7 linked regions of the Cricetulus griseus genome follow. The protein of the gene in region 6 interacts with the protein of the main gene of each other region in a pairwise test. Links are inferred from orthologs where the notes say so. Each region holds a gene or a part of one and is shown on either strand. Other genes may lie near its edges.

Region 1 (4,014 bases), on a different chromosome or scaffold from region 6:
GATAATTTTACCTGCTGAGCCATCTGCCTGGCTACCAGCCCAATTTTTGTAGTTACTTTTTAATGTATGTAAAACAAGCTAGTCTACAGTTGAGCGATCCACTTGCCTTGAGTGTTGGGATTAAAGGAATGTACCATAACCAGGGGTTACTATTTATTTAGTTGCCCCCTTTTAAGCCTGGGTGGCTTGTAGCTTAGCCTCTCCTAGAATTCCCTTATGTAGGTGAAGATGACCTTGAACTTCTAATCCTGCCTCCACTTCCCAAGTGCTCATATTACAGGAACGAACACCATGCCTGACTTTAATTCATGTGAATGATTTTAGTAGAAGGGGGGGAATTTTGCTGTTCTCCAGCCCATCATTTCCAACTAAAAGAGAAAAACAAACAAAAAACCTAAACTCGTTGTCAGAAAGTTACCTACTTGCTACCGATTTAATAACACGTTAAAAAACGGACTACAGTGTTTGGCGGCCTCCCCAAGTTAAAGTAAAACTTCTAAAGGGGTCAAGGTCTGAAGTTCACATTTTTGTGAGGCCTGTTTTTGCCTTCACTGAGGGAGACCCCATTATCCATGGCAAGACCCCATTATCCAGTTCTACCAATCGCGTCCATTTCCTCTGAGTCTCCCCAAGGAGGAATAAGAAGTTCTGGTGAGGGAAAACGGGTTCAAATGAAGGTCAGATGCCCAACACTTCGCTGGGGTGGATAAACTGGGGCAAAGTGAAGCAGCTGGCAGTGGCTTCAGTGGTGGCAAGCTTCCCATGCTGGCAGGGAAACCCGGCGGGCAGTGGCACCTGGGGGCCTACTGTGTACCAGGCCCGGGGTTTAAGGAGGAAACTGCCGGGAGCCTGCGGGCCATCCTCTATATCGTATCTAGTGGAGGAAACCAAGGTCCTCCAAGAGGGCTTAGGACACTAGAGCAGCTCCGGGCGCCCATCCGCGACAGGCCCCGCGGGCGAACACCAGCACTCCCGCCCCGAAGTGCAGACTCTCCTCGGCGAGGGCGGATCCCCGGCGGCCCTCACCCGACCCCCGAGGCGAATACAGCCCAGCTATGGGCCTGCTCCTCACGTGTCCGGATCGGCCCCCAAGCCGACTCACGTTCCACTTCCGCCTGACCCTTCCGACTTCCGGTAAAGAGTCCCCCCCCCCTCACCCCCATCTCCGTTCCGCATCTCCGCGCCCTCCCGTCCGCGTCGCCCCGTGCGCGCCCGCGATCCGGGTTCTCATGCGCCCGTCGACCGCCGCCGCTCAGAGGCCCGCGGCGGGCCCGGAGTCGCGCCGCCTGTCGGGCTGGGCCGCGCGGCGCTCGCTCCCGCGGACTGCGCGGCGCGGCGGGCGGCGGCGCGGCGCCGTATCCCCGCCGGCCCTCCCCCGCGCGCCCCGGCGCCCTCCCCGCGGGCCGCGCTCGCCGCCCTGCGCCTCAGACTGTTTTGGTAGCAACGGCAACGGCGCTTCCCGGCCCGGCTCCCGGCGACTGTTCGGTGTCTGCGGGCCTCCCCGCCCCTTCGTCGTCGTCCTGCTGCCCCTGGCTCCCGCGACCGCGTCAGCCCGCGTCTGCCCGCTTGGCGTCCGCGCGTCCCCGCCGCGCTCCGGCGTCTCCTCAGCGCGCCCGGCTCCCGGCTGTCCCCGCCCGGCGTGCGAGCCGGTGTATGGGCCGCTCACCATGTCGCTGAAGCCGCAGCCGCAGCCGCCCGCGCCCGCCAGTGGCCGCAAACCCGGCGGCGGCCTCCTCTCGTCGCCCGGCGCCGCGCCGCCTGGCCGCGCCGGCCTCGTCTTCCGCGGTGCCGGCCCGGTCGCGCCGGTGGCGTCTTCCTCGGCGTCCACGGGCGGCGGGCGCCCCGGCCTGGGCAGGTGGGTGTCGGCTCCCCAGCCCCCTCCGCGCCCGCTGGGCCGATCCCGCGCTGCTCGTCCCCTCCCCCGCCTCGCCCCGTGACCGGCCCGCATCGCGGTGGGCTGGGGGCCCGCGGAGGGGCGGGAGGCCCCGGAGGATTCTAAGGGTTTCTCGGGCCGTGTCCAGCCTCCCGCACCATCTCGTCCCCTCCCCCAGACGGCCAAGATGGACGGCCGGGGCTGCCCCCTGCCCCTCGCGTGTGTGCGAGGGGCGGTGGGGGTCCCCGCCCCACCCCCTTGCCGCGTCCCCTACCAGCGATGGAAGGGCGGTTGGGCCTGGGTGCAGCAGGTCGCAGGGGTCCCTCTCCTGAAACGAGCCTCTTGGCCGGGAGGAGGAGGAGGAGAAGTTGAGGCCCAGCCGCCCCAGGTAGGGTCGGCCGGTTGTCCTGTGTATCTCCCGCCCCGCAGGCCCTGGGAAGGTGGTCATCCGAGGCGAGGTGGGTGGCTAGCGGCCTCCCGGCACCCATCCCCCTTTAGATCTGGGGCGGCGGGGTTCCCGCAGTGGGCTGCCCTCCCCCAGCTGGGGAAGGGGTGGGAGTGCCCGGCTCCCTTCGGGCCGGCCTCCCTCCTTCCCCGCAAGGTCCCCTGCGCGCGGGTGGTGGCCGATCCGCATTGCTGTTCCTCGTATGGCGAGCAGAAGGCGCCTTTGAATAGAGGTGGGCGAGGGCCGGACTCAAGAGAGGTGGGTTGGCGGCGGGCATCGGACACGCAGCGCATTTTCCGCCCGCAGCCCCTGTCCCAGTTCCTGAAATTTCTAGGGATGAGGAACCGCCACAGAGGAGTTGGTGCGGGTCCTGATGGCAACAACGCGGATGTTGGCTTGCGTCCTTGCGCCCCTCTCCTTTCCTCTCCTCTCCCCTGGGCCCAGTTTTGTTGGTAGGAGCTGGAGGCCTGGTGCTGTCCTGTGTGACTGGGCTTGACTCTGGAGGGTGTGTGCGCGCGGGGGTGGGGAGGGGTGGGGGTGGTTGTCAGTTCGTATTTCACGAACTAAGAAAATGCTTAGTGTTAAAACGGGGAGGCAAATGCCAATAGACTCCATTCCATTGTGGCCAGTGTCCTTAACTTGGGAAGAGCCGCCAGAGCTTACCAAGGGCATGCAAGTCCATTTCCCCTGTGCTCCGAGTCCGTCGTGTTACAGGCACTTCTGTGCTTCCCTCTCGCTTTTAGGCCTGGCTGGCAGAGCCTTGACCAGCCTCCTTAAATAGACATCCAGGACTTAGGTGGGCTAGGGGATTTTTCATGGGCCGAGTTTTCTTTTTAGCCGCATTTCCCAGCCATCCATTTCCAGAGAGTGTTCCTTTACAGCAGAAGTTAACCCGTGGGGTGAATCAGAGCAGGTTTTTAAGGGATTCTGCTGGGAACAGTCTGCTTTTTACTGTATTCCCCCATATTCCTAATTTTCCCTAGCGTGAGACATTTCAAACCCTGCTTAGCCTGCCTAGTTCAAATTAACACCCCCCCCCCCAGCTGGGTGAAGTTAGGGTTCTATAACTTCAGTTTCATTTTTTTTTTTGTCCTTGACTTTTAGTGAAAACCGAAAAATATTTAAATTTAACTTTAAGGATGTGTCTTGTTTAATTTGCTTTTCCATGATTTTTCTCTAGTTATCAGAAAGTGGCAGGTGTATTTATCTTGTTCAGATACAAATTAAAACTTAAGTTTCTAATCTTCACTATCTCTTTAGGTGTAAAGATTAGATTATGGTGGAATTGCTCTCCAGGAACGTGAGCATCCCACATGAGCAAGGCCTGAGTACTGGTAGTCCCTTTCTGGTCTTGAGCCTCCTCAAAAACTAAAGGCAGTTAGCATTTTCCTTGCTTTAAGCTCTTAAAGCATACATTTTAACATTTACTCTTTTGACAGTTTTTTATCCAATACCGGACTCAGAATATGTCATTTTTTTGTACAGAGCCTTGATTGATGTTAACACTGGTAGAATTGCTGTAAGTTCCTAGTCTTCTCTGGTTTCTTTGTAAATCCATTACAACTTCTAGGATTTTGCTTGGGTTTGTGTCACTTAAAATAAGACTGGCAACATGGTTGAGGAAAGGAGATGTAGTATTGGAGACTGGTCAGATGGTTCACTGGATAAAGGTGCTTGCTGCAAGGCCTGTCAACTA
Region 2 (3,500 bases), on a different chromosome or scaffold from region 6:
TAAATAAATCCTAAAAAAAAAGAATCAAAAATCTAAACTTTTATAAATGAAAAAGAATTAGTCAGCTCTATTGTAAAATCTTAGAGTGTATCCATCCCCACTCATCAACAGACTTATATATCAGGAAGCTAAGGGCAGAAATGGATACAAGGAATTAATCATCACCCTTGATCACCAACCCATCATACAAGAAAAGTACGTCAGCCAGCAATAGCCAGGCTGCCTGCCATTGTTCTTGTTTCTTGACCTCAATGAGTCCCTCACTCAGCTACTCAAAGTGTGCCTTTCTAAACTTTTAAGTTGTTTTCCAAGATTTTTTAACCCAAAGCCATTAACAAAATCGTCTTAATCTAACCTTAAGTCATTATTTAAGGCTTTGTTTTAGCTATGATGCACACTGAAACCTGTGAGCACATCTCCCAACATTAAGATTAAAAGAACTTGAGCTAGATAGGCTTCTGGGATTCATTGTTTCTCTTAATCATTAACCTAAGCCACAGTCTGCATGGCTCCTCAAGAGACATCAGCTGTGTGACATATCCTTGTTCTATTTTTCTATCCGTTGCAGCCCTTGTTTTATCAGGGTCGGGGTGGGGCGCTGAAGAGGAAATCATCTTAATAATCCATAGGAAGCAGGGCAGTCAGTGGTGGCTCACGCCTTTAATCCCAGCACTCGGGAGGCAGGAGGATCTCTGTGAGGTCAAGGCCAAGCCTGGTCTACAGAGTGAGTGCCAAGATAGGCTCCAAAGCTACACAGATAAACTGAAAGAAGTATTTTTTGCTAGGTCTGTTGTGGTGAAGGCCTATAATCTCAACTGTTGGTAGAGGGAGGCAGTAGGATCAATAGTTCAAGGCCAGCCTAGACTAAATGAGACCCTATCTTAAACAAATAATCAAAAAATAAGGACCTCCCCTAAATTAAAAAAAAAAAAATTCAGGCTAGTTAGTGTCACATCTTCAATTCATTTTCTGCTATTTGTGGTTTCTTTTTTAAAACATCTATTGGTTAGTCTTCCTCTTGCTGTGACAGAGTACCTGACCAAGCAACTTAAGGAATAAGGGAAGGTGCAGTGAGTCCCATTGTAAGTCAGAGCTCACCCTGAAGAAGGCAGCAGGGAGAGCATGAAGCAGTGGGTCACATGCACCACAGTCAGGGAGTAGAGAAAGGGATGCTGGCACTCAGCTGAACTTCTCCCAGCCCATGAGACAGTGTGGCCCACATCAAGGGCAGGTCCTACCTCTTCAGTTCAACCTCGGTGGGAACACCCTCATGGACACACCCATTTGAGTGTTTCCTAAACCAGTCAGGTTGATGGTAAGGTAACCTTTACACGTTCCTGTCTAGGTCTTTACATTGTGATTTGGTACATAGATTCTGGAACCAGAATCAGGAGGCTGCGGTCCTAAATCAAGTGTTCTGTGTGGCCTTCAGGGAGATGATCAAAGGTTTTTCTCTCTGTGAAGCAGAACTGACTTCACCCCCTCATACATTGTTGCCAGTATTCATATGCAAAAACTTTTAGAGTCATGTCTTGTGTGACAGTATTCATTGCTATTATTTATTTTCTCTTCCAATGCATTACCAAAAATATGTTGGAGTTAAGCTAATAAACAAGAACTTCTATGAGTTAGCGACCCTAACTGGAAACATGGTGTGCTCCAGATGGTACGGTTCTGAGGAAGATGTATTGTATAAAGGAGCTGTCTAAAAGGTATAAATTTGGAGAAATAGTAGAAGACAGTGGAAGACGATAGATCCAGAACAGCTAAGCTGCTAACAGCTCTCAGTCTGAACAGCCTGGCTGGAGAAGTGGTTTTCAGAACCTGAAGGGATAGAGTAGGTAGAATCACTGCTTTAAGAGGAGCCTTGACCTTCAGTGGGACTCATCCCAGCTAGAACCCAGTGTGGAGATGTTACTGACAGTTTGTATGGATGCCAGAGAGCAAACAGAGAATCTGTGGAAGCAGATGCTAATAAGAGTTCTCTTTTCTATGTGAGTATATGTGTATGTACATGGGGGCCAGAGGTCACTCTTGGGTGCTGGTCCTCAGGCCATCTGCCTTGTTTTTTAAGATATGATCTCTTATTGGTTGACCTGGAGTTTATGATTGGGCTGGCAACAAGCCCAGAGATCTGCCTGTCTTTCTGCTAGTGTAGGGTAGGTAACATGTCTGGCTTTTTATGTGGGTTCTGGTGATGGAACTCATGCCATTATGCTTTCATGGTGAGCAATTTACCAAAGTGAGCCATCCTTCCCATTCATATAGAGAGAGCACTGTTGGATATAGATGTAGGAGCTGGTCTAATAATGAATGCATGCCTGTAATCACAGCACTCAGGAGGGGAAGGCAGGAGCAGCGGGTATTTAAGTTTCCTAGGCTGTGTTGTAAGTTTGAGACCACTCTGACCTACAGGGACACTGTCAGAAAGAAAGGGTGAAGAAGGGGAAGGGTGGGGAAGAAGAAGGCAGGGAAGGAGAGAGACCCTTAGGGGAATTATTTCAGAGAAGACATATTTATCTAAAAGAGAAAGCATGTCTTTTTGAGACAGTGTCTCACTCTTACCTAGATCAGGCTGACTTAGAACTTAGTATGCCACTCTAAATTGGCCTTGAAATCTCAGAAATCCTTTTGTCTTAGCCTGCTAAGAGCTGGGATTACAGATGTGAGCCAACCATGCTCAGCTTCCCTTAAAATTCTTACTAACTGGGCTGGAGAGATGGCTCGGAGTTAGGAGCACTGGCTGCTCTTCCAGAGGTCCTGAGTTCAATTCCCAGCACCCACATGGTAGTTTTAGCCATCTGTAATGAGATTTGGTGCCCTCTTCCGTCATTCAGATGTACATGCAGGCAGAACACGGTGTATATAATTTAAAAAAAAAAAAAAAAAACTTCAAAAAAAATTCTTACTAATCCTTCCGTACTTGTCTACATCAGAAAATACTTCTTTATATGTGTCATTTTGTTTTTACAATATTAGAAGTAGCCTGTGTAGTTCACTCCTGTCTTTTGTATTTTAGCCTTTCATCCGCTGTAGTTTACAGTGCAGAGATCTAGTTGATGAAGCAAAGAAATTTCACCTGAGGCCTGAACTTCGAAGTCAAATGCAAGGACCTAGGACAAGAGCCCGTCTAGGTAAGCTGGTGCTCCTGGCGGAATGAAGGGACACTTTTTCAACTAACTCTTTTCAGGTGGTTTGATATAGTTGGAAATAACATCTGTAATGAATACAATGGACTTGTTTCAGATCATCTTTTAAACTTTTTAGATAAGTCGCTGCCATTGTAAGCTTTTATTTCCTAAAATCTGAGAGTATCGTTATGTCACATACCGTTGGAGATTAGAGAGAAAAATTTTTATAAATTATCATATATTATGTAGCATTAAATTTTTGCTTCACATTTAAACAAAGGGCTTAGAGCTGGGGTTGTAGCTCAGTTGGTAGAATGCTTTCCTTAGCCCTGGGTTCGACCCCAGCACAATATAAACTGGATGTGGTGG
Region 3 (2,703 bases), on a different chromosome or scaffold from region 6:
ACAACTAGCTACTCAGCATCTATGGGGGGCCAGGAGGCCAGCCTAGTAAGGCAGATGGGATGCAGGCTCTGCAGCACCGGAGGCCCCTGCATCCTGCCCTCAGGCATCAGACAGCTCAGTGGTTGGTCCCTTCTTTCCTTCCTCTTGAAGGTTATCTGTTGGCCTGGGAAGGACAGTGGCCTGTCCAGAGCTGTACGCCTCAGATGGCCCAGAGGTTTAATAGGTTGGGTGTATCTTGCTGGTTGCAACCTTGCAGAGCTGGGCAGGTGGAGACTCCCCAACCCCTGCCGCCCCATTGAGAGCCATGTCCCCCTCAGGTCACTGCTCCTTGTCTTTCAGCTCCTGAATCAGTTTGAGAACACGGGCCCCCCACCTGCAGACAAGGAGAAGATTCAGGCCCTCCCTACGGTCCCCGTCACAGAGGAGCACGTGGGTATGCTCACGGGGTGGTGGACAGAGTCCCCAGGGACCTCCCTTCTGTGGCATGACTCTCAGTGGCCTGCTTCCTCTGCAGGCTCAGGGCTGGAGTGCCCCGTGTGCAAAGACGACTACGCGCTGGGTGAGAGTGTGCGGCAGTTGCCCTGTAACCACCTGTTCCATGACAGCTGCATTGTGCCCTGGCTAGAGCAGGTGACTCTGCCCTGCCCACCAACCTAGACCCAGCTCTGACCTTAACCCTAATCTGCTTGCCTGCCAATCAGAAACCTTGTGCTCATCCTGACCACAACCCTAACACTAGTCATGACTTACCTGACTGTCCCTTCCTTCCCTGAACTCCAAGCCTGCCTTTGTCATGCCTGTCTCCAGCTGTGACCCCGACTCTTACTTGTGCCCTGAGGCTGACCTCTCGCTAGCCCTGGCTTCACTCTACCCCAACCCAGATCCAGAAAAATTCCTGGGTCAGACTATGTGTTAGCATTGGCATCGGCATTGACTCTGACTTTGCTGCTGTGCCCGTCTGCCACCTAACCTGGACCCCAGACTCTAATTCTAACCCTGATCATGGCTCTGACCGCAACCCTGATGTTAACCTAGGCCCTGGGGACTGGAGAGATGGCTGGGATCACTGGCTGCTCCTCCGGGGGTCCTGAGTTCAATTCCCAGCAATTACATGATGGCTCACAACCATCTGTTATGAGATCTAGTGCCCTCTTTTGGCCTGCAGGCAGACATGCAGGCAGAGCACTGTATATATAATAAATAAATCTTTTAAAAAAACTAGGGACTCTTTGCTTCCTGATTGAGGAAGCCATGAGAAACTGCGTTAAAATAAATCTTCCTTCCTTAAAAAAGAAAAAAAACTGGCGTTGGTGGCGCACGCCTTTAATCCCAGCACTTGGGAGGCAGAAGCAGGCAGATCTCTGTGAGTTCGAGACCATCCTGGCCTACAAGAACTAGTTCCAGGGCAGCCTCCAAAAGCCACAGAGAAACCCCATCTTGAAAAACCAAAAAAAGCAAAAAACACTAGGCCCTGACCCACCCCTCCCTCTCTCTAACTCTTCCTCTGTTCTCTCAAGCATGACAGCTGCCCTGTCTGCCGCAAGAGCCTCACTGGACAGAACACGGCCACCAATCCCCCAGGCCTAACTGGGGTGGCCTTCTCCTCATCCTCATCCTCATCCTCGTCCAGCTCGCCCAGCAACGAGAATGCCACAAGCAACTCCTGAGTCCCACCTGGCCACCCATCCACCCACCCCCGGGGCTCGGTCATCCCACTCGCCCCAGGTGCCCTAGCACCGCCATGGCCGTGGACTAGAGGTGCTGCCCCATGGTGGCCAGCAGCACCTGGCGGGCCCCAGGCTGCGACAGGCTCGGACTTGGCCATGGCCGCTCCTGTTTGGAGGCAAGCACCTGGGCCCCATGTCCCCAGCAGGCGCCTCCAGTCCGTCTTTAACCTCACCCTCCAAATGTTCAACGGCAGAAGGGTTTTTATGATTTTAAATTATTACTGCTTTGAAATAAATGGACGTTTGAGCCACGTGCGGCCATGCATGATCTGTGGAGGCAGCAGAACTGTCGCCAGACCCAGCCCGCCACATGCCCTGGGAGGCCGGCCCAGCACCCAGCCAGTGCCGGCCTCGGGACCACGAGGGTGACCAGCAGACCCAGGAACAAACTGCTCCAGCAGACTTTTTTTTTTTTTTTTAAGGGAAATGTGTGTTATCTGGAAAGCTATTTAAAATACACCTACTCAAAAAGCAGAGCCCATGGCTTGGCGTCTTCCTTCAGCCAGGGTGTTCATGACTCACGTGGGGGCAGCTCACAGGGTGGGTTTGTGCTTTGGGTGAAAGCCTGAGGAGACCCAGGCCTTGGCAGTGTTGAGCAGGAGGGGATTTCAACTGTCTTCAGGGCACTTGGGTGGGAAGCCATCCAGTACAGGCCCTGCATGTGGTGGCCTTGAGGTGGGGCCTGTGACCAGGGGCCCTGCAGTCTCATCCACATACTGCTTGCCTGCCTTTGCTGGGAGTGATGGACTCACAGCATCTATAAGGGCTCACCCAAAGCCACGCCAGCACTGTCCTGGGTAAGCAGGTCCCCAGCCCTCCTCTCCTAAGCGTCCATGAGGGAGACTCGGAGCAGTCAGCTTTCAGCAACAGTGTGACCTGCCTACTCTGTTCTCATGTTTAGGACCTGAAGAGCCTCAAGAACCATGTTTACTTCAGCCCTGGCACTGCTGGTGTGTCAGCCGATTGGCCTTTGGTT
Region 4 (4,154 bases), on a different chromosome or scaffold from region 6:
AAGCTGATTATTCTGGAACATTTTAAGAGGTGAGGATACTGATTGTTAAACTAGACAGCTTTGTAAGTTACAATAGAGTTGACATTTTACTTTTAGTACATTGAAAAGCCATTAGAGGCTTTTAAGCAGGAGAGTGACATGATCTGAAATACTTTTTAAAAATCACGAGGACGCTGGGGAGATAGTTCAGTCCATAAAGCTTGCCACTTACTTGCTGTATAAACAGGAGACCTTGAATTCCACGCATAGCAGCAACTGCGGCAACAACCGCCTGAAACCCCAGAGCTGGGGAGACAGAGACAGGACCTTGGTCTTCCAAGTCCACCTGCCTAGTCTAATCTGTGGTCTCCAGGTCCCTAGTGCGCTCACGCATGCACACGATCATGGGGTGGAGAGTAGGAGTACATTAAAATAATGGATCGATATATAAAGTTTGGAGGGAGAAGATCGTTAAGAGACCTTTGCAAGCAAGAGATAATTGTGACTTGGGCCAGAGATGGAGCTGTACTGGACATAATCAAGATACCGTTCATTGGTAAAGATCTAGATAGCTCATGTAGGAAGCAAAGCTAAGAGGAGAGGCTTTGCTAAACAACTAGCTTTCTGTAGTTAACAAAACTGGAGAAAAGAACCAACGAACAAGCTCTGCTCCGAACTATAATAACGGCTTTTATTGATTGCATGCTTACTATGTGCAACTCTACTGGAAAACTTACAGAAAACATGTCAATTAAAAATTCCCAACACTACCAGTGAACGCCGCCACGCCTTAAGTTTTGTCGAAAACGGGTTCGGAAGCGGGGTGGGGGTGGGGATGTCTCACCGCTGCGAAGTGCTGGAAGCCGAATCTGAACTTAAGTCGGTCTCCGCGGCGGCTTCTCTATAAGGTACCGGGCCTCTTTTCTACGAAATCGAGACTATATGTACTAAATTTGTACTGTGAGATCGCATCCTTAGGTAAGGCGCCCCAAGTACTCTGACACCGAGTGATCGCCCACCCTCCTGGGGTTGCACCTCAGGGATCCCGCGCGTCCCGGGCGCACGCGACGTAGTTTCCAGACTGGAAAACCGAGTTAAGACCTCTTGCGAGCAATTGGTCAGAGCTGGGAAGGAGTCTCCCGATTGGTGGACCACTCGGGTTTCCTCGCAGCGCGCTCCCCTCCGCCTGAGATTTTCTCCTATTCGCAGGCACTTCCGGGCGGCGCGAACCTCTGACGTTTCCTCTTCCCATTGGCCGGCAGCAGCGGCGGCAGTTCCGTTGTCTGACTGGCTGTCCGAGCCGCCTCGGAGGTGAAGTGTACCGCGCTGATTGGCTGCGGAGTGGCGGCCGCGTGTGATGTCCCCGGCGGCGATTGGCCCATGCCTGGCTGCTCGCCGGCTCTGGGGCTCCCGGAAAGTGGCAGCTGAGGAGGGGGCGCGCTAGCTGTCTCGGCGGCCCGGCAAGAGACCCGGGCGTGAGGCGGCCTCTCAGGGCCGGAAGGGCTGGTCAGCAGACGCAGCGGCACGGGAGGCTGAGAGTGCGGGACCAGGCGACACCATGGCCCCGCAGAACCTAAGCACCTTCTGCCTGTTGCTGCTGTACCTCATCGGGGCTGTGATGGCCGGGTGAGGAAGGGGCTCCGCGCGGCACGGGGCCCGAGGGGCGGCCTTTGCTGAGAAGGACGCGGGTGGCATCGAGGAGGGGGCAGTGAGGGAGCGGCACTGCCGAGCCGAGGGACGGAGGGGCAGTGAGGGCCGGGCTGGCCCTGCGGAGCCAGAGTGCCCACAAGAGCAGGAGTTGGTTGCAGTGCCAAATGCTACGTTTGTGCATTGGAAGGAGTTAAGTGGCTGTGAGCGGTAGTAGAGTCACGGAACTCCGAGGAAGGGAGTGAGTGCCAAGCTGGGGTTGAAGTTATGGACACGTCTTTGCTGAACTGGAGGGTGGGACGGTGGGTTACCTAGCTTGCAACAAGCCTCCGAGGACCTGACACTAAAGTGGGTGGGCCATGATGCTCTTAAGTCAGATGCAGGTAAGGAAGCCAAGCTCACGCGGGAGTAAACTGGCTTGAGGAAGCAACAAGACCTTTAGAGAACCTACTTTCCACCTTCTTGGGCTAGCGAGCCTGAACTGTCATCTTGCCTCACTGTCTCTCTCCATGGTTCCTTGAGCTGGATGGTATAAGTAGGAAAAGCACTTCACGAACGGGTGAGAAAACTGGGATTCTAGCCTTTTGCCACTCTTATGAATCATACAAGTTTGAAGGAACTTTACCGAAGTTCTGAAACCAGGGGAGCATTGTGCCTCCCTTCAGGGAGAAAGAGCAGACTTTGAGAATCTATCTCCCAGCATTTAAAATGCACGACCTTATAGTTCCCATGACTAAGGATATGGTACATCAGACTTGTGTTCTTGAGGGCTGGAACCCTTCACCCCAGCTTTTGGCAGATGAAAACAGGTGGATCAGAATTCAAGGTCATCTTCAGCTCCAGAGGGAGTTTCAGGCTTGCCAAGCCTACATCATCCCCTATCTCAAATAAATAAGTAACCACAAAAATAAAAACACACCAAAAACTAGTGGGTGTCAGAGTCTGACAGTCTGTAGGTTGCTGCATTACCTCAAATAGCTTTTAAAGTTGTTTCCTTATGTTTTTTACTCTTTGCATGTATGCTTAAATTTTGTCATTTTTTTTCCTTGTGAAATATTTTAAATTTCTAAAAGTTCACATTTCTTACATATTCTTTATTGTTTCCCCTTAGTTTGATTAAGCTCATGAGTACCCAAAGCATTTAACAAAACGTCAACATAAAATTTTGGAGTTGGAAGTTGAGGTATTCTGGTCTCCAGCTCAATATGTAGCTGAGGGCAATCTTGAACTCCTTCATGCTCCTTCAGCCACCACTTCCCACATGCTAGGATTGCAGACATGGGTGACCATTCCTGGCAAATACTAATAGCTTTTAATACTTTAGCTTTAAACTTCAGTCACTCATAAAGTAGCCTCTGGGGAGCATAATGTTGACGGCCATTTTTTTCTGAGCTGTCATTTAGCCTTTTCCCCCCTTTAAAAAGTCTTTTACTTACTCTCTGTCAGTTTCATACACATACAGTGTAATCATACCTACCCAAAATCCCGCAGATACACACGCGAGCGCGAGCACACACACACACACACACACACACACACACACACCAACATGCCCCTTCCCACATCCAGTAACTCACTGAGTCCAGTTAGTTGATGTAGCTGCTGGAGTGGTGACTAATGGTATTGGCTTGCTCTTTTCAAAGGTCTTGTTCAGGTAGCCATAACTTGAGTATATTCGTGAGTGCCATATCCAGAAGACAGAATTTGACAGCACTCCTCCCCTTCCCATGCTTTTACATCCTTTCTGCCCCATCTCCCACAATGTTCCTGAACTTTGGAGACTTGGGGAGAGGCGGGGGAAGGTTGGAATAGATATTCTGTTTAAGATTGAACACTCAGCAGTTACCTGTTCTCCACACTTTGACCAGTTATGTTGATACATTTACTGCCACCGTAAAAAGAAGTCTCTATGACCAAGGCTGAGAGTGTGTGAATCTATAGATATAACCTAAATATTTACATGATATAGTATTAATTATAGATACAACCTAAAAATCACATGTCTGCTTAGCAAAACAACAGTAATAGGTCTCCCTGTCCCCCATGGCCTATGACCTCGCCAGCCACGGGTTTTCAGCTTTACAGTACCAGATAGGAATTCCCTTCTGTGGAGCAGGCCTCAAGTCCAGTCAGAAAGCAGTGGGTTAACCTCATAATCTTCACATCACTATTGTACCAGATGTGGGACTATCTTGCTTTTTTGGTCAATATTAGTAATTTTCCTCCTCACACAACCTACGTAACCTTCTGACACTGTGAAAGCTGGCCAGAAGGCGGGAATTTTGTATGTCAACTCAGTTTGATTTCTCTGTGTCCGGTAACCAAAATGTGTGTCATCAGCAATGGGGCTTCCGTTATGATGGGCAATGGTGAAGCTTCTTGTCTGGGGGCCTCCCTGACTTATAACTCTCATAGGGAGTTTTCCCACACCTGGCACTGAGATTTTCACTTCATAATCTATGTCTTCTAAGGGAAACATCCACTCATACAGGGTACCTATGTTCAGAATCCCCGGTCTCTCTGTGTTT
Region 5 (4,120 bases), about 14 Mb from region 6:
TATAAATACATTCTAGTACCACAGTTCTGCATCTTTGCTGTCCTATGTCAGGCTTCCCATTCAATTATGGGACCAAGGGGGAAAACAGCACCACATCCATATCCGTTTTCACATTTGAAGTGGATTTTCTGCTCAGATGGTCTCCCACTCCATTTAATTAGCAGCTGAATAACCAGCCTCCTTACCATTCCAAGATGCAGTTCATGAACATGAGTTGGAAGATGTATGTAAGTGCTCTTTTCTGTAGTGCTCATGGGTGGGAGGTCGAGACGGAAGCTCGTGATGGATGTTTAGCCCTACAGTTGAAATCCTATAAGTAAAAATCTACAGGTCTTAATTCTTTTCCCTTTCTAAAAGTATTATATGCTTTGCACTGCAGTATGCCTACACAATAGTTTAGTCACAGTGTTTATTCATCAAATTGCATTCCAGATATGACTTTTGTTGTCCTACAATCATCTTAATTAAAATTATTGGGCCCCATGTTATGCCTCAAAGGGTGGCACGAAGCAGAATTCAATGCCACTACCAGTAGCATTTGATAAATGTCAAAATAATAGTGAACTTACTTTTGTGAGAGATCTGGCCATGCCCTAGAAGAAAAGAAAAGCAGTTGGTAGACACGCAGATTTCTTTTGAAAAGCTACTTCAAATCTTTTACAGAGAACTTAAAGACTTATTTTCAAAATATGTAAGACTTCCTATTTATGTACCATCTTGAGGAATCAAGTAGATGAACATTAACCAATTTATTAATGAAAGCCAAATACTTTAACAACCAAAGGAATGTGTATTGAATAACCTCAGTGGGCCATGGGTTAAAAGGCAGAACCGGGGACTTGAGCTCTGTTAATAATAGCAAGGGTATATAATGTACCGACCTCAAGATTGGTCACCCACTGGCTCCACAGGAGCAGGAGCTCAACACACACCTGGACACACACACACACACACACACACACACACACACACACACACACACACCCTCTTAATTAGGAATAATTGCAAGACCTTCTGTTTGTACCCTTAAAATCCTTTCTTACATGACCACTCATAATAGTAAAATAGAGATTTATAGGGATGTTTACCATAAAGAGCCTTTAACAGGGCCACTTGTTTTTCAATTGAGGAATCTGACAAGAGATGAATTGGCATTAACTCTTCACAAGCTCCACTCACTGCGTCATCAACTCAAGGCAATGGAATGAGTGTTTCTCTCACTGAAGCAAGGGGTAGCCAAATCTACCCCAAATCCCAGAAACACTATATATAGCTTCTTTCACCCCAAGACTGGACCAAGCCTACCTGGAGGCCCTTGAAATTTGGACCCTTAGTCAGGGAAGTGTTTCGCTAATGTTAGTTCCCAGTTTGGGTCACTTTGGTGCTGAGAAGGATGAGAAATGGATCTTGCCCCCTCCTTCCCACCCCCCCCCCCATCAGCCCGTGGACTAGTGCATATGCTAATGAAGTGCCGATCAGAGTCTTCCGGGAAATCACAAGTCTTTGGGTGTGTAAATTTTTACTCTTAGAGCAAGAGACTCTTGGGTGCTCCAGGAAGGAGCAAGCATGCAGATCAGGTAGCCTGATAGACCTAGTGACTATTGCTCATCTCACCAGCATCCCGTTTGCCCATTAATCCAAAGAACTGCTGAGGCTTGGGTCTCCGGGCGATTCTCTGCAGAAGATGCTCAAAGGGCTCTGGCAGCGCCTCCTGGGGACAAACCCGCGTGCAGACAACGTGAGTGAACCCAGGCCAGTTCCATCATGCGCCCCAGCTTCTCCGGGAGCTACAGATCCCCTGTGATCCTGTGATCACACGAGTCCAGGCCACACAAGAATCTATGCAGCACTCTCCCCGACTTGACCCCGCCTGGGACTTCCTTCTCCCCAAAGTGTACCCTGGGTGTCCCTGCCCAGCCTCACAACCCCTTCTGGTCCTGTGCATTTTCTGCTCTTTATCCCATCAGAAGACTCACTCAAGGTCTCACTACCACCTTTGTCTGTTGTCAGCGCGGCTTCAGAGACCTCCCTCCCCCGAGTCCTAAGTGCACACAGTAGGGGTGGATGCAGAAGTGTGTCAATACTTTACAAGCGACCCTGCACCACCGCACAACTTTCTCTGTTTCCCAAGGCGCGCTCCTTTGCACGAATAGCTGAGAACCATGTAGAGGGAGACTTGGAACATCAAATACAGGAGTGTGGAGTTCGCTTCCGCCCCCCAGACCCCCGCAGCTCCTTAAGATCCGGCTTTTGCCCCATCGACTGGTTCACTTCTCTGCTCAGCATCTCCAAATTCTCTGGCAGCACCGCTGGACCAAAGCCTCTAAGATCCCATAACTTGGGACTAAAACCTTGCGACCCTTCCAGCCAGTTGAGGACCCAGCTCTTTAGAGAGCATCCATTCCGCTGGGGAGACACTGAACCCAGAACGCAGCCCTCCCGCAGGGAGGAAACTAAGTTCTGGGCGCACAGCCTTGTGCGGGGATCGGGGTGAGGGTGTGTGTGTGTGTGAGTGTGTGTGTGTGTGTGTGTGTGTGTGTGTGTGTGTGTGTGTGTGTGTGTGTGTGTGTGTGTGTGTGTGTCGCCCATTACATCCTACTGCGTCTCTCCGGCTGGGCTAATCAGGGTGCTAACCACAAGGGGAAGGGAACAGCTCCCACGCCCGGTTGGGTCTCACCTTGATCTGGTCACTGTCGGACCAGTCGGACCAATAGTTTAGATCATCGTTGGCACCGATTTCCTCTGCAAACAGTTGAGTGGAAACGAGAAAAATGACCGCAACGGCCACGAGGATTTTCATGTTGGATTTCTGGGGAGAGTAGGAGAGCGGAGAGGAGACATTACACACACGTAGGCGGTGACCACCCAAGAGTTAGAGCAGCAGAATTTCAGTGCCACAAGAAAGGGAAAACAGGTTCCGCTAAACCAAGATAAGAAAAATCAGAGTTACCATTCCTCCATACCCCTTAGGAGGGAGAATAACGCTCCTTGGAGCCTCAATCCTCCTCTTCCTGAGTCTCAGCGTCCCAGACCCTCAGCCCACCGACCCACGCCCTCAAGCCTGGAAACGCTGCAGGTGGGAGACAATGAGAGACATGGCATTTGCACAATCCCCCGGGTCTGTGGCTGCAGCGGGAGCAAAGCCAGGCTGGACGCCACCTCCGAGCCAGGCAGGACCCGCAACAGGCAGCCACAGCTGGAAGGCGGGAGTGGTACTCACTGCGGTCAGCCCCGCACTGGCTGGGGATGCTCGGCAGGTGCGCACTCGCTGGGCGCTCCTCGCTCTCCTCGGTCGCGGTGCAGGAGTGGAGCAGGTCCGACGTTGTGCGCTCTAGTCCCTGCTCCTGCTTCGCGGTATTTATCACAGGCGTGACGAGCCTGGAGTGCCACGTGACACTCTCCCCACGCGACTTTCTGCTCAATATTTGATTAGCCGCCCCCTCGCCTTTTGCTTGCGTGATGGAGAGTTTCCGAGTCGGTAACCCGTCGGTGTCCGTAACATCTGGACCCAATTGGGTTCGAAATGACGCAATTTTAGGGAAGTCGAGGTCTCGCCACCCAATCCAGAGAGGCCTGTTTTCTTCCGTCTGCAAATCTGACGCCCCCTCCCCTCTTCTTCCGAACAAGGTTCAGTGACACCTGAGATTACTCATCAAAATTGAGCAGAGTGATTCATGCCTCGGACTTGGGGAACTTTTCTCTCAAGAGACCTCAGGAAAAGTTGCGCTTTTGAGAACGGCCAAATCACTTCAGCATTAAAACCTTGTCAGAGATCACGCTGAGACAGGAGCAAGGACTTTAGTGGGCTGCAGGAAGCGTTTTTTCCCCTTCTATTTCTACTTTCATGTGTCTTAAAGGTTGGTGAGGGGGTACATAAAAGGCTGGAACAGTCCTCTCTCCCTAATCAGCCAAATACTCCCCCATTTCTCTGGCATTTCAGAGGATAAAAGCACATTTGCTTTATGTTTGGAGAAAAGAGAAATTTAAAGCTGGTGTCGCATGTAGAATGTACTCATTAGCCATTCCAGGACAGCTTTTCTTCCCCCAAAGCTTCTCTCTCTTCACATCCAGACAGGATCTGAAGAGGATAATCACGCCTCTCCCCTTCTTATTCTCACTG
Region 6 (4,160 bases):
GCTGGACTTCAATACTTTGATAGCTGATCTTGGTAGTCAGCCTCAGGGAGAGGTAGTGGCCAAAAAGGGTTTGCTTCCTGAATCCTCAGGCAAGCTTTAATAAGTCACAAATATATCCCTACAATGGTGACTATCTTCAGGAATGTAACCTAACAGTTTTGAGCAGGGGAGAGGGAGTAAGAGAAGGGTAAGGATCGCCAGATCCATGCTGGACACACTCACGCTGGCCAGAGTCCGACTGCCATTCAGGCCACCCTTGGTACTTACTATCTTGCTACAAAGCAATCACAAAAACGTGGGCGGTGATAGGCATGACCGTTCTATTGGAGTGATGCTCAGGCTTGTGTGTGGGAGCAAGGGATCAAACCCAAGGCCTTGGGCTTGCCGGGCAAGTGCCCTCCCACTCCAGCCCTTCCAATTTTATGAGGACACACTAAAAGGTGGGTTTAGGGTGCTTGATACCAAGCCAAGCCTGAGGACCTGGCTTTGATCCCCAGGTCCCCACAGTGGGAAGGGGACTCCGGTATGTTTCTCCACACTTAGGCTGCTGTGGTAGATGCAAGGCACATAGCCCGCCGCCCCCCCTTCCCCCTCCAAAAAAATGTTTTTAGGACAGAGGTGGGTGGATCCCTGAGTTCCGGGACAGCCAGATCTACATAGTGAGAACCGCGTTTCAGAAAAATAAATAAATGACGTCTGGCCGGGTGCCACAGGGCGACTTTAATGCCAGCCCCGGGCAGTGGCGTGGAGCTGTGGGGCTGTGGGGCGTGAGGAGTTCCAGGCACTTCAGGGGAACACGGTGAAAGCCTCAGCATTCAGGCTGGGACAAAGCAACCACTGCTCACTAAACAGTGCTCACTGCCGGCGGGGATGAGCGGGGAACCCCCAACCCCTTCTCTCGCCCTTTAACCCTGTGGCCCGGGCACGCGCGCTGGGGGTTTGCTTGGTCTTGTCTTTTCCAGAGCGCTAGCGCTTCCCGGCGTAGCCCAGGCCGGCCTCCGGGGGCCGGGGTCACAGGCGCGCGCCGGCCCCGCTTCCACCAGCGGCGAAACGCTCGGTGGTCTTGAACCATGGCGCTCCCTCGGGCGCCCTCGACCAACCAACGACCCTCAGCACACGCCACAGTCTGCGAGGCGCGCAGCCGCCCGGTCCGGCTCGGGTGCGAGCGCACACGGCCCACGGAACGTCCAACCGTCGGGCGGCGGGGGGCGGGGGGGAGCGGCTTCCGGGAGCGCAGGCAGTGCGGGAGGACCAGAGGCCCTGCCGGGGCTTAGGTGGCTAGGGCTGTGCCCGTGCGTTTCCTCTGCCCGCCCAACGCGGACGCAGGCGCACGGCGTGCAACAGCCCCACGAGTCCCCCACGGGCGTCCACAGCGTCTCTCCGGGTAGGGGCGGCATCCCGCTCAGCGAGGGTTTCCTTCAGGCGTTACGGCGGCCACCTCGGCCGTGCGGCGCTTGCGGGGCGCGCGCCGTGGGGGTGGGGGCGGGGGGCGGCGGAGAAACGCACGCAGCCCGAGGCGAGGCGGGGCGGGGCGGGGCGGGGGGCGGGGCTGCGGTGTGCGCACGCGCCGCGCGGCTCACGCAGGCGCAGTGCGGTCCCCCGGGCGACGGCGGCGGCGGCGGCGGCGGCTCCTCGGGGTGGTCGGCTCCCTCCCATCTAGGCCGGCCCCGGCCCGTCTCGGCCCCTGGGAACTCACTGTCTGGGGCTGCGGACTTCCTCGTCGTGCCCCGCAGAAGCAGATTGGGGGGAGCCTGGGGGAGCCGGAAGTACCGCCTCGAGAGCCCCAAATACGATCGGGGAAACGGAAGTGGCCTGTGGTGCCCGCTTGGGGGAGGCCGGAAGTGACGGTACGGCGGGGAGCCGGCGGGGGGGGCGGAGCCGCGGGGCGCTGCGCCGCGCCTCGCCGTGTGTGTGTGTGCGTGCGTGCGTGCGTGCGTGTGTGTGCGTGTGTCTGTGTGTCCGTGTGTCTGTATGTGAGGGGCCGCGTGTCGGGCCGCGCGCGCTGCTGCTGCAACGCCGGCGGAGGCGGAGGCGGAAGGACGGGCGGCCAGCGAGCCGGTCGGGCTCCCGTGAGTGTCCGCGTCCCCGGCGCCTGTGGTGCTTGAGGCGGGTTCGATCGCCGTGGCGCGCGTGCGCGGAGCCACTTTGTCCGCCGAGCGCGGCGCGGCGCGGCGCGACCCGACCCTCCCCCCGCCCCCCCCTCGCGTTGTCCTCGGCTCTCCCGCTCTCTCGGGCGCTTGCTGGGTCGCGACCGGTGATGACAACTGGTGTCCGGTCGGTCTCGTGCTTGCTTGCCCGGCTCGTAGCCCAACTGGCTCTCCCGACCGTGATTGGCACCGTGGAGCCCCTCCCACCGCTCGCCCTTCGCCTCCCGGTGCCGTCCCCCTCCTGCCCTTTGTGTTTCTCCTCCCGGGCCTCGGGGCCGAGGAGGGGGCGATGAGGGCGAGGACGAGTGGATGTGTTTGTGTATGAGAAACTTTGAGAGGGATCGGGGCGGAGGCCGGGCCCGGACGCTCTTCCGGGTGTGTAGAAGGCGGGGCGGGCGGGCGGACGGACTGACGGGCGAGCGGGCGAGCGAGCGGGCGGCGGCGAACCACCCCCTCCCTCCCTCGTCTCTCCGTAGAGAGCTGTCGGCCATGGAGCCGAGCGATAGTGCCAGGACCGCTATGGAGGAGCCCGACAGCCTGGAGGTCCTGGTGAAGACCCTGGACTCTCAGACTCGGACGTTCATTGTGGGGGCCCAGGTGAGGCGGGGGGAGAGGCGGCGGTGTGTGTGCCCGCTTCGCTCGTGTGCCTTCCGAGGGGCGAGCCTGCTTGTCTTGTCACCGACTCCTTTGTCCCTCCCTCGGTAGAACCTCTGATGTTCCTGTTGAGTGAGGAGGTGTGGTTACCGTTGAGTGAGGCAGGTTTTGTTCCGCCCGCCTTCACCTCGGTGGAGCTCGGTGGAGAGGGAAATGCCGCGGAGGAATCTGTACCTGGCCTGGGCGGACCTCTGCCCACAGGGACACGGATGATTCCGGCCTGGGGGACCGGAAGCAGCACCGGGGCCTCAGACAAGTGTGCTGTGTTTGCTCTGTCTTTGAACAACTTGTTCTCGGCCTTAACACTGTATTTATAGATCCCGGGAGCCTGCTTTTGTGCTCTGTTCAGGAGGATTGCCAATATCTTGAGGGGTGGTTTGAACCTCCCGAGCTTACAGGGTGCAGTGTGGGCACAGTTATCTTTGTCTTTACTGCATAAATCTTTTCGGGAACAAATCATGAACGGGTCACTTTCGTGGTTTTATAAAACATTGGGAACACCGGGTACACTTTCGTGAGTAGGTGTCTGATGGCCCTTACCAAGAGTTACTGTCTAATTTGGAAGATTCTTTTTGGGGGTGGTAGGGACAGCAATACCTCATAGAGCTCAGGCTGGCTTTGACCTTCTGACTTCCATCCTCTGTGCTAGGATTTTAGGTGTAGCATACCTGACTTGTTTTAGGTTGTTTTGTTTAGTTTTTCCCCAATAGGGTTTCTCTGTGTAGCCCTCTCTGTCCTGGAGCTTTATCTGTAGACCAGGCTGACTTCAAATTCAGAGATCCGCCTGCCTCTGCCTCCCGAGTGCTGGGGTTAAAGGCGTGCTCCACCATTGCCTGGCTGAGGTAGGGTTTTAAGTGTCTTAGAACTGATTGTCTTTTGGATTCGTCATCCTCCTGTCTCTGCTTCCCAAATTTGGGGGTCTCAGGTGTGTGCTACCACGTTGGTTTGTTTGGGTTCTTCATTTTCCCTCCTCCCCTTATTGGGGGGGGGATGTTCCTACTGGTGTTGAACCCTGGACCTAGCACAAAGTACCTACCCCTGAACTCTAGGAAACCTCCTGGGCTCCCTTCTTACTTCTTCATTAGTTATCTTCCCAGACCCTGGATCCCAACCCAGTATTACTTGCCATTGGTGGAAATGGTTGTTTGAGGGTGTATCAGGTGTGTCATCCCCCCAGGTTTCTCTGTGTACCTCTTGCTATCCTGGAACTCAATCTGTATAGCAGTCTGGCCTAGAATTCACAGAGTCTGCTAAGATTAAAGATGTTCACCACCACCTGGCTTCAAAAAAAATGTTTTTAAGACTTTATTCATTTTTGTTTTTGTTTTTGTTTTGTTTTGTTTTGTTTTTCGAGACAGG
Region 7 (3,500 bases), about 150 Mb from region 6:
TGTTATTTAAATTAACACTAGATTATACAACTCAGGGAAACACAGAACTGTTTTGAAAAGTATATTGATTAATGTATTAATTTCCAGACAGCCCCCTATTCTGAATGGGAAAATTTTAGCAATAATTTTTGTTCAAGCATTGATTTTTTTTTCATGTATGGAAACAGGAGGCCTATCTTTGTTCAGGAATATATTAGCTATGTCAATTCCAAATGTCACTTTCCCAAGTATACTGTAAATATCTTAGTTGATTGTGTTAATGTTTAAAAATAATGCTAACAATCTTATCATAGATATGCTAATCTAACCTTTAGAACTGATGTAGCAAAAATTACAAAGTCATTAAACAGAGGTTAAGGTCAGGAGGGAGGTGAGTTTAAAGTATAGAACATTGTGAGCTTGGCTTCTTTTTAAAATTAAGATACCACTGAAATATTTCAGTTATTAGAAACTTTAATAACAATGTATGTGTTGTAATAAACATGTGCTTTACCCATATAGTATTTTTCTTTGATTATGATTATACTGAAGAAATTTATGACTGGGTGAGTTGCTACTTGACTCTTCATGAGCAGATTGAAAGACAGAGTTATGCATTGAGATTGTGGTGAGGATCTGAATTTACAGGATTGTGAAATAAGTGCATAATATTGTTAGGAACAAGGAATTGCCTATGCACAGAGTAAGATGAGGAGAGATTGGTTGTTTTGAAGGTGAAAATCAGGGTAGTCACTGGTCTCTGGTTGCAGCCATGAGAGCAAGAAGCTTGGATGTACCACTGACTTACTGAGTCTGCTTGTCCTTATGGGCAACTTAGCTCTTAGGTCTGAATAAAACTGATAAACATTCAGGGAGGCATATTTCAATTCTCTTCTTGTCCAAGCAACAACTGTGGATATCATCTCATCAGAGAGTTCATTACCAGTATTAATATTCAGGCATTTGTACTGGCCTGTCCCTTGGGTTCTGACAGGACATGCCCTGAGCACATTCAGTTCCTTTATAAAAGGGCCCTGTCTACCTCCCATCTTGCTCTCTTTCTATCTCTGTCTCTCTGCTTCTCTCTCTCTGCTTCTCTCTCTCTCTCTCTCTTTCTTCTTTTCTGCCACCCCTCCACCCAAGCTCTGTCGCATGGCATCTTTCTCTCATGCACCACTTTTAAAAATTATAACTAGTTCTGTCTACTTTTTCCTAGAATACCCTTAATTCCTATTTCCCGGTGTTTCTACTTGCACATATTTCTTAGGGAAGTATTTAGCAGCATTTCCTTTGGCTCTTACAGTTGCTCAGGTTAGATGATACAATACACTGTCAAAAACAGTTCATTGAAAGACCTTTTTGGTTTAGTCTATTTTAGCCTGTTTCTTTGAATCACTACTTAATTTTTCTCCTTCTTTGTTCTCCATCCTCTTTATAGGAAAAATTAAAAATATGTTTTCAGAGGAAGAATTTGGTCCCCTGACTCGCCTGGTCCTGGTAAATGCCATTTATTTCAAGGGGGACTGGAAACAGAAGTTCAGAAAAGAAGACACAGAGATGACAGATTTTCATAAGAAAGATGGCTTAACAGTCAAGGTTCCAATGATGAAAGCTCTGTTGAGAACAAACTATGGTAACATGAGAAGCTATATATATATATATATATTATATATATATATAATATATATATTAAACAGTGGAGCTGATAACTAAAAAATATATTTAATGAACTTTAATTGTTTCAGGTTATTTTTCCGAGTCACTCATGAGGTTCCAGGTTTTGGAATTGCCTTACAAGGCTGATGAATTTAGTATAGTCATCATCCTTCCCACAGAAGATGTGAATCTAGAAGAAGTGGAAAAGCGAGTTACTGCGCATCACATCCAGAGATGGTTCTCTGAGCTCCACGAGGAGGAAGTGGAGGTCAGCCTCCCTCGGTGGGTCATGTTCTGTGCTACTGATCTCTGGATTGTAAATGGAATCCTGTGGCCAGTTAAGATAAGATAACTTTCCACTGAAATTCCAAGGGATTGCCATAGGAAGCAATGTTTATACACACTAATAGGCTTTTGGGAGACAAAAGAACCTTCAGAGTAAATAATGCCCAGAATAACAGTTTATATTCTATCCCGTGTGACAAACTTCTCTTCCTATATTTTGACGTAGCATTTTATTAACAGAGAATTTCATAGTCCTATACTATGGTTTGCACTATTTGCTGCTCACTCTTTCCCCTCACTCCTCAATATCTAATTCCTACTCCGTAACCCCATTGAAGAAGTTCTCCCCTCAGTATTTCCCCTCACTTCTTACAGATCTGGTCTCTACTCCTATGAACTAAAATCAGAAATTCAAAGTTCTGAAATACATCTTCCCCAAATTAACCATTTTTTACTTGAATAATGTGTTTTATATATGAACAGTGGATGAAAATTACATAGGCTCAGTAAATATTGTCATGTTGATAGGTTTCAGCCACCTCTGCCCCTGCTCCAAAGAGTATCTATGTGTAGCCCATGTTCATTCTGCAGTCACTATGTAGCCCAGGCTGGAACCAATCTCATGATCCCACTGACTCTGTTGTGTTGACTCTGCAGCTTTGTGACACTACCTTCAGTGATGGTTTTAAAATGTATCATTCAGTACTGTATTTCTTTTTATCTGAATGAGCACATAATGGTCTTTAAACTGGTAAGTGAAGATCTGGTAAATTGGAACAATTCAAGCAGTGTCATCAGTTTTCCAGAGCTACTGTAAAAAAGGAACAAGAACAAGTTAGTTGATTTCAATGAAAAAAATAATTATCTCTGAATTATGGCCTAAAACTGCAAACTCAAGTTGTTATTAGAACCACACTGACCTTAAGACTGTGTTTCAAATCTGCCCTTGCTCTTTCTAGCTTCTGGTAGAGCCCAGCAATCCTTAGAGTTAGCAACATAAATAAGGCTCAGAACAAAACCAGCTATACTATACTCTGCATTGTTGCAAAAATGCCTCTTTTTATTTCTTTTTTAAAATTAGAAACAATCTTATTTTACATGTCAATCCCAGTACCCTCTCCCTCCCATCCTCCCATGCTCCCCACTGACCTCTGCGCCCCTATCCCTATATCCCTCTTCTTCTCCCCAGGGAGGCTGAGGCCTTCCATGGGGGATCATCAAAGTCTGTCACATCATTTGGGGTAGGGCCTAGGTTCTTCCCCACGTGTCTAGGCTGACAGAGTGTCCCTCTATGGGGAATGGGCTCCCAAAGTCAATTTGTACTCTGGGGATAAATACTGTTCCACCAGAGGCCCCATAGACTGTCCAGGCCTCCTTGCTGACACCCACATTCAGGGGGCTTGGTTTGGTCCTATGCTGGTTCCTCAGCTGTCAGTACACGAGCCCCCATGTGTTCAAGTCAGCTGTTTGTGTGGGTTTCCCCAGCTTCGTGTTGACCCCTTTGCTCATCACTCCTCCCTCTCTACAATTGGATTCCAGGAGTTTGGTTCAGTGCTTAGCTGTGGGACTTTACTTCGGCT

Evidence for each region.
Region 1: the proteins of Bag6 (region 6) and Atxn2 interact in binary tests that used the Homo sapiens proteins (3 or more experiments, as listed by UniProt). The link is inferred for Cricetulus griseus from reciprocal best matches to the Homo sapiens genes BAG6 and ATXN2.
Region 2: the proteins of Bag6 (region 6) and Klhl12 interact in binary tests that used the Homo sapiens proteins (3 or more experiments, as listed by UniProt). The two-hybrid records come from large-scale screens. The link is inferred for Cricetulus griseus from reciprocal best matches to the Homo sapiens genes BAG6 and KLHL12.
Region 3: the proteins of Bag6 (region 6) and Rnf126 interact in binary tests that used the Homo sapiens proteins (3 or more experiments, as listed by UniProt). The link is inferred for Cricetulus griseus from reciprocal best matches to the Homo sapiens genes BAG6 and RNF126.
Region 4: the proteins of Bag6 (region 6) and Dnajb11 interact in a two-hybrid assay, tested with the Homo sapiens proteins (2 studies listed by BioGRID and IntAct). The link is inferred for Cricetulus griseus from reciprocal best matches to the Homo sapiens genes BAG6 and DNAJB11.
Region 5: the proteins of Bag6 (region 6) and Tac1 interact in a two-hybrid assay, tested with the Homo sapiens proteins (2 studies listed by BioGRID and IntAct). The link is inferred for Cricetulus griseus from reciprocal best matches to the Homo sapiens genes BAG6 and TAC1.
Region 7: the proteins of Bag6 (region 6) and Serpini2 interact in a two-hybrid assay, tested with the Homo sapiens proteins (2 studies listed by BioGRID and IntAct). The two-hybrid records come from large-scale screens. The link is inferred for Cricetulus griseus from reciprocal best matches to the Homo sapiens genes BAG6 and SERPINI2.

Annotation. Positions count from the first base shown.
Region 1 is NC_048597.1:101,568,783-101,572,796, forward strand, and holds the start of Atxn2 (ataxin-2), read left to right. Parts: upstream 1-1,214; 5' UTR 1,215-1,229; coding exon 1,230-1,855; intron 1,856-4,014. UniProt on the Homo sapiens protein: Involved in EGFR trafficking, acting as negative regulator of endocytic EGFR internalization at the plasma membrane.
Region 2 is NC_048598.1:54,763,753-54,767,252, reverse strand, and holds part of Klhl12 (kelch-like protein 12), read left to right. Parts: intron 1-3,019; coding exon 3,020-3,134; intron 3,135-3,500. UniProt on the Homo sapiens protein: Substrate-specific adapter of a BCR (BTB-CUL3-RBX1) E3 ubiquitin ligase complex that acts as a negative regulator of Wnt signaling pathway and ER-Golgi transport.
Region 3 is NC_048598.1:100,566,802-100,569,504, reverse strand, and holds the end of Rnf126 (E3 ubiquitin-protein ligase RNF126), read left to right. Parts: intron 1-339; coding exon 340-433; intron 434-514; coding exon 515-630; intron 631-1,517; coding exon 1,518-1,667; 3' UTR 1,668-2,203; downstream 2,204-2,703. UniProt on the Homo sapiens protein: E3 ubiquitin-protein ligase that mediates ubiquitination oF target proteins. Depending on the associated E2 ligase, mediates 'Lys-27'-, 'Lys-29'-, 'Lys-48'- and/or 'Lys-63'-linked polyubiquitination of substrates.
Region 4 is NC_048597.1:65,997,757-66,001,910, reverse strand, and holds the start of Dnajb11 (dnaJ homolog subfamily B member 11), read left to right. Parts: upstream 1-1,354; 5' UTR 1,355-1,537; coding exon 1,538-1,605; intron 1,606-4,154. UniProt on the Homo sapiens protein: As a co-chaperone for HSPA5 it is required for proper folding, trafficking or degradation of proteins.
Region 5 is NW_023276806.1:217,573,199-217,577,318, forward strand, and holds the start of Tac1 (protachykinin-1), read right to left. Parts: upstream 2,801-4,120; coding exon 2,678-2,800; intron 1,712-2,677; coding exon 1,615-1,711; intron 1,134-1,614; coding exon 1,089-1,133; intron 594-1,088; coding exon 570-593; intron 1-569. UniProt on the Homo sapiens protein: Tachykinins are active peptides which excite neurons, evoke behavioral responses, are potent vasodilators and secretagogues, and contract (directly or indirectly) many smooth muscles.
Region 6 is NW_023276806.1:231,657,330-231,661,489, forward strand, and holds the start of Bag6 (large proline-rich protein BAG6), read left to right. Parts: upstream 1-1,360; 5' UTR 1,361-1,384; intron 1,385-1,588; exon of another isoform or gene 1,589-1,847; intron 1,848-1,878; exon of another isoform or gene 1,879-2,069; intron 2,070-2,380; exon of another isoform or gene 2,381-2,522; intron 2,523-2,623; 5' UTR 2,624-2,636; coding exon 2,637-2,744; intron 2,745-4,160. UniProt on the Homo sapiens protein: ATP-independent molecular chaperone preventing the aggregation of misfolded and hydrophobic patches-containing proteins.
Region 7 is NW_023276806.1:78,476,149-78,479,648, forward strand, and holds part of Serpini2 (serpin I2), read left to right. Parts: intron 1-1,417; coding exon 1,418-1,612; intron 1,613-1,724; coding exon 1,725-1,917; intron 1,918-3,500.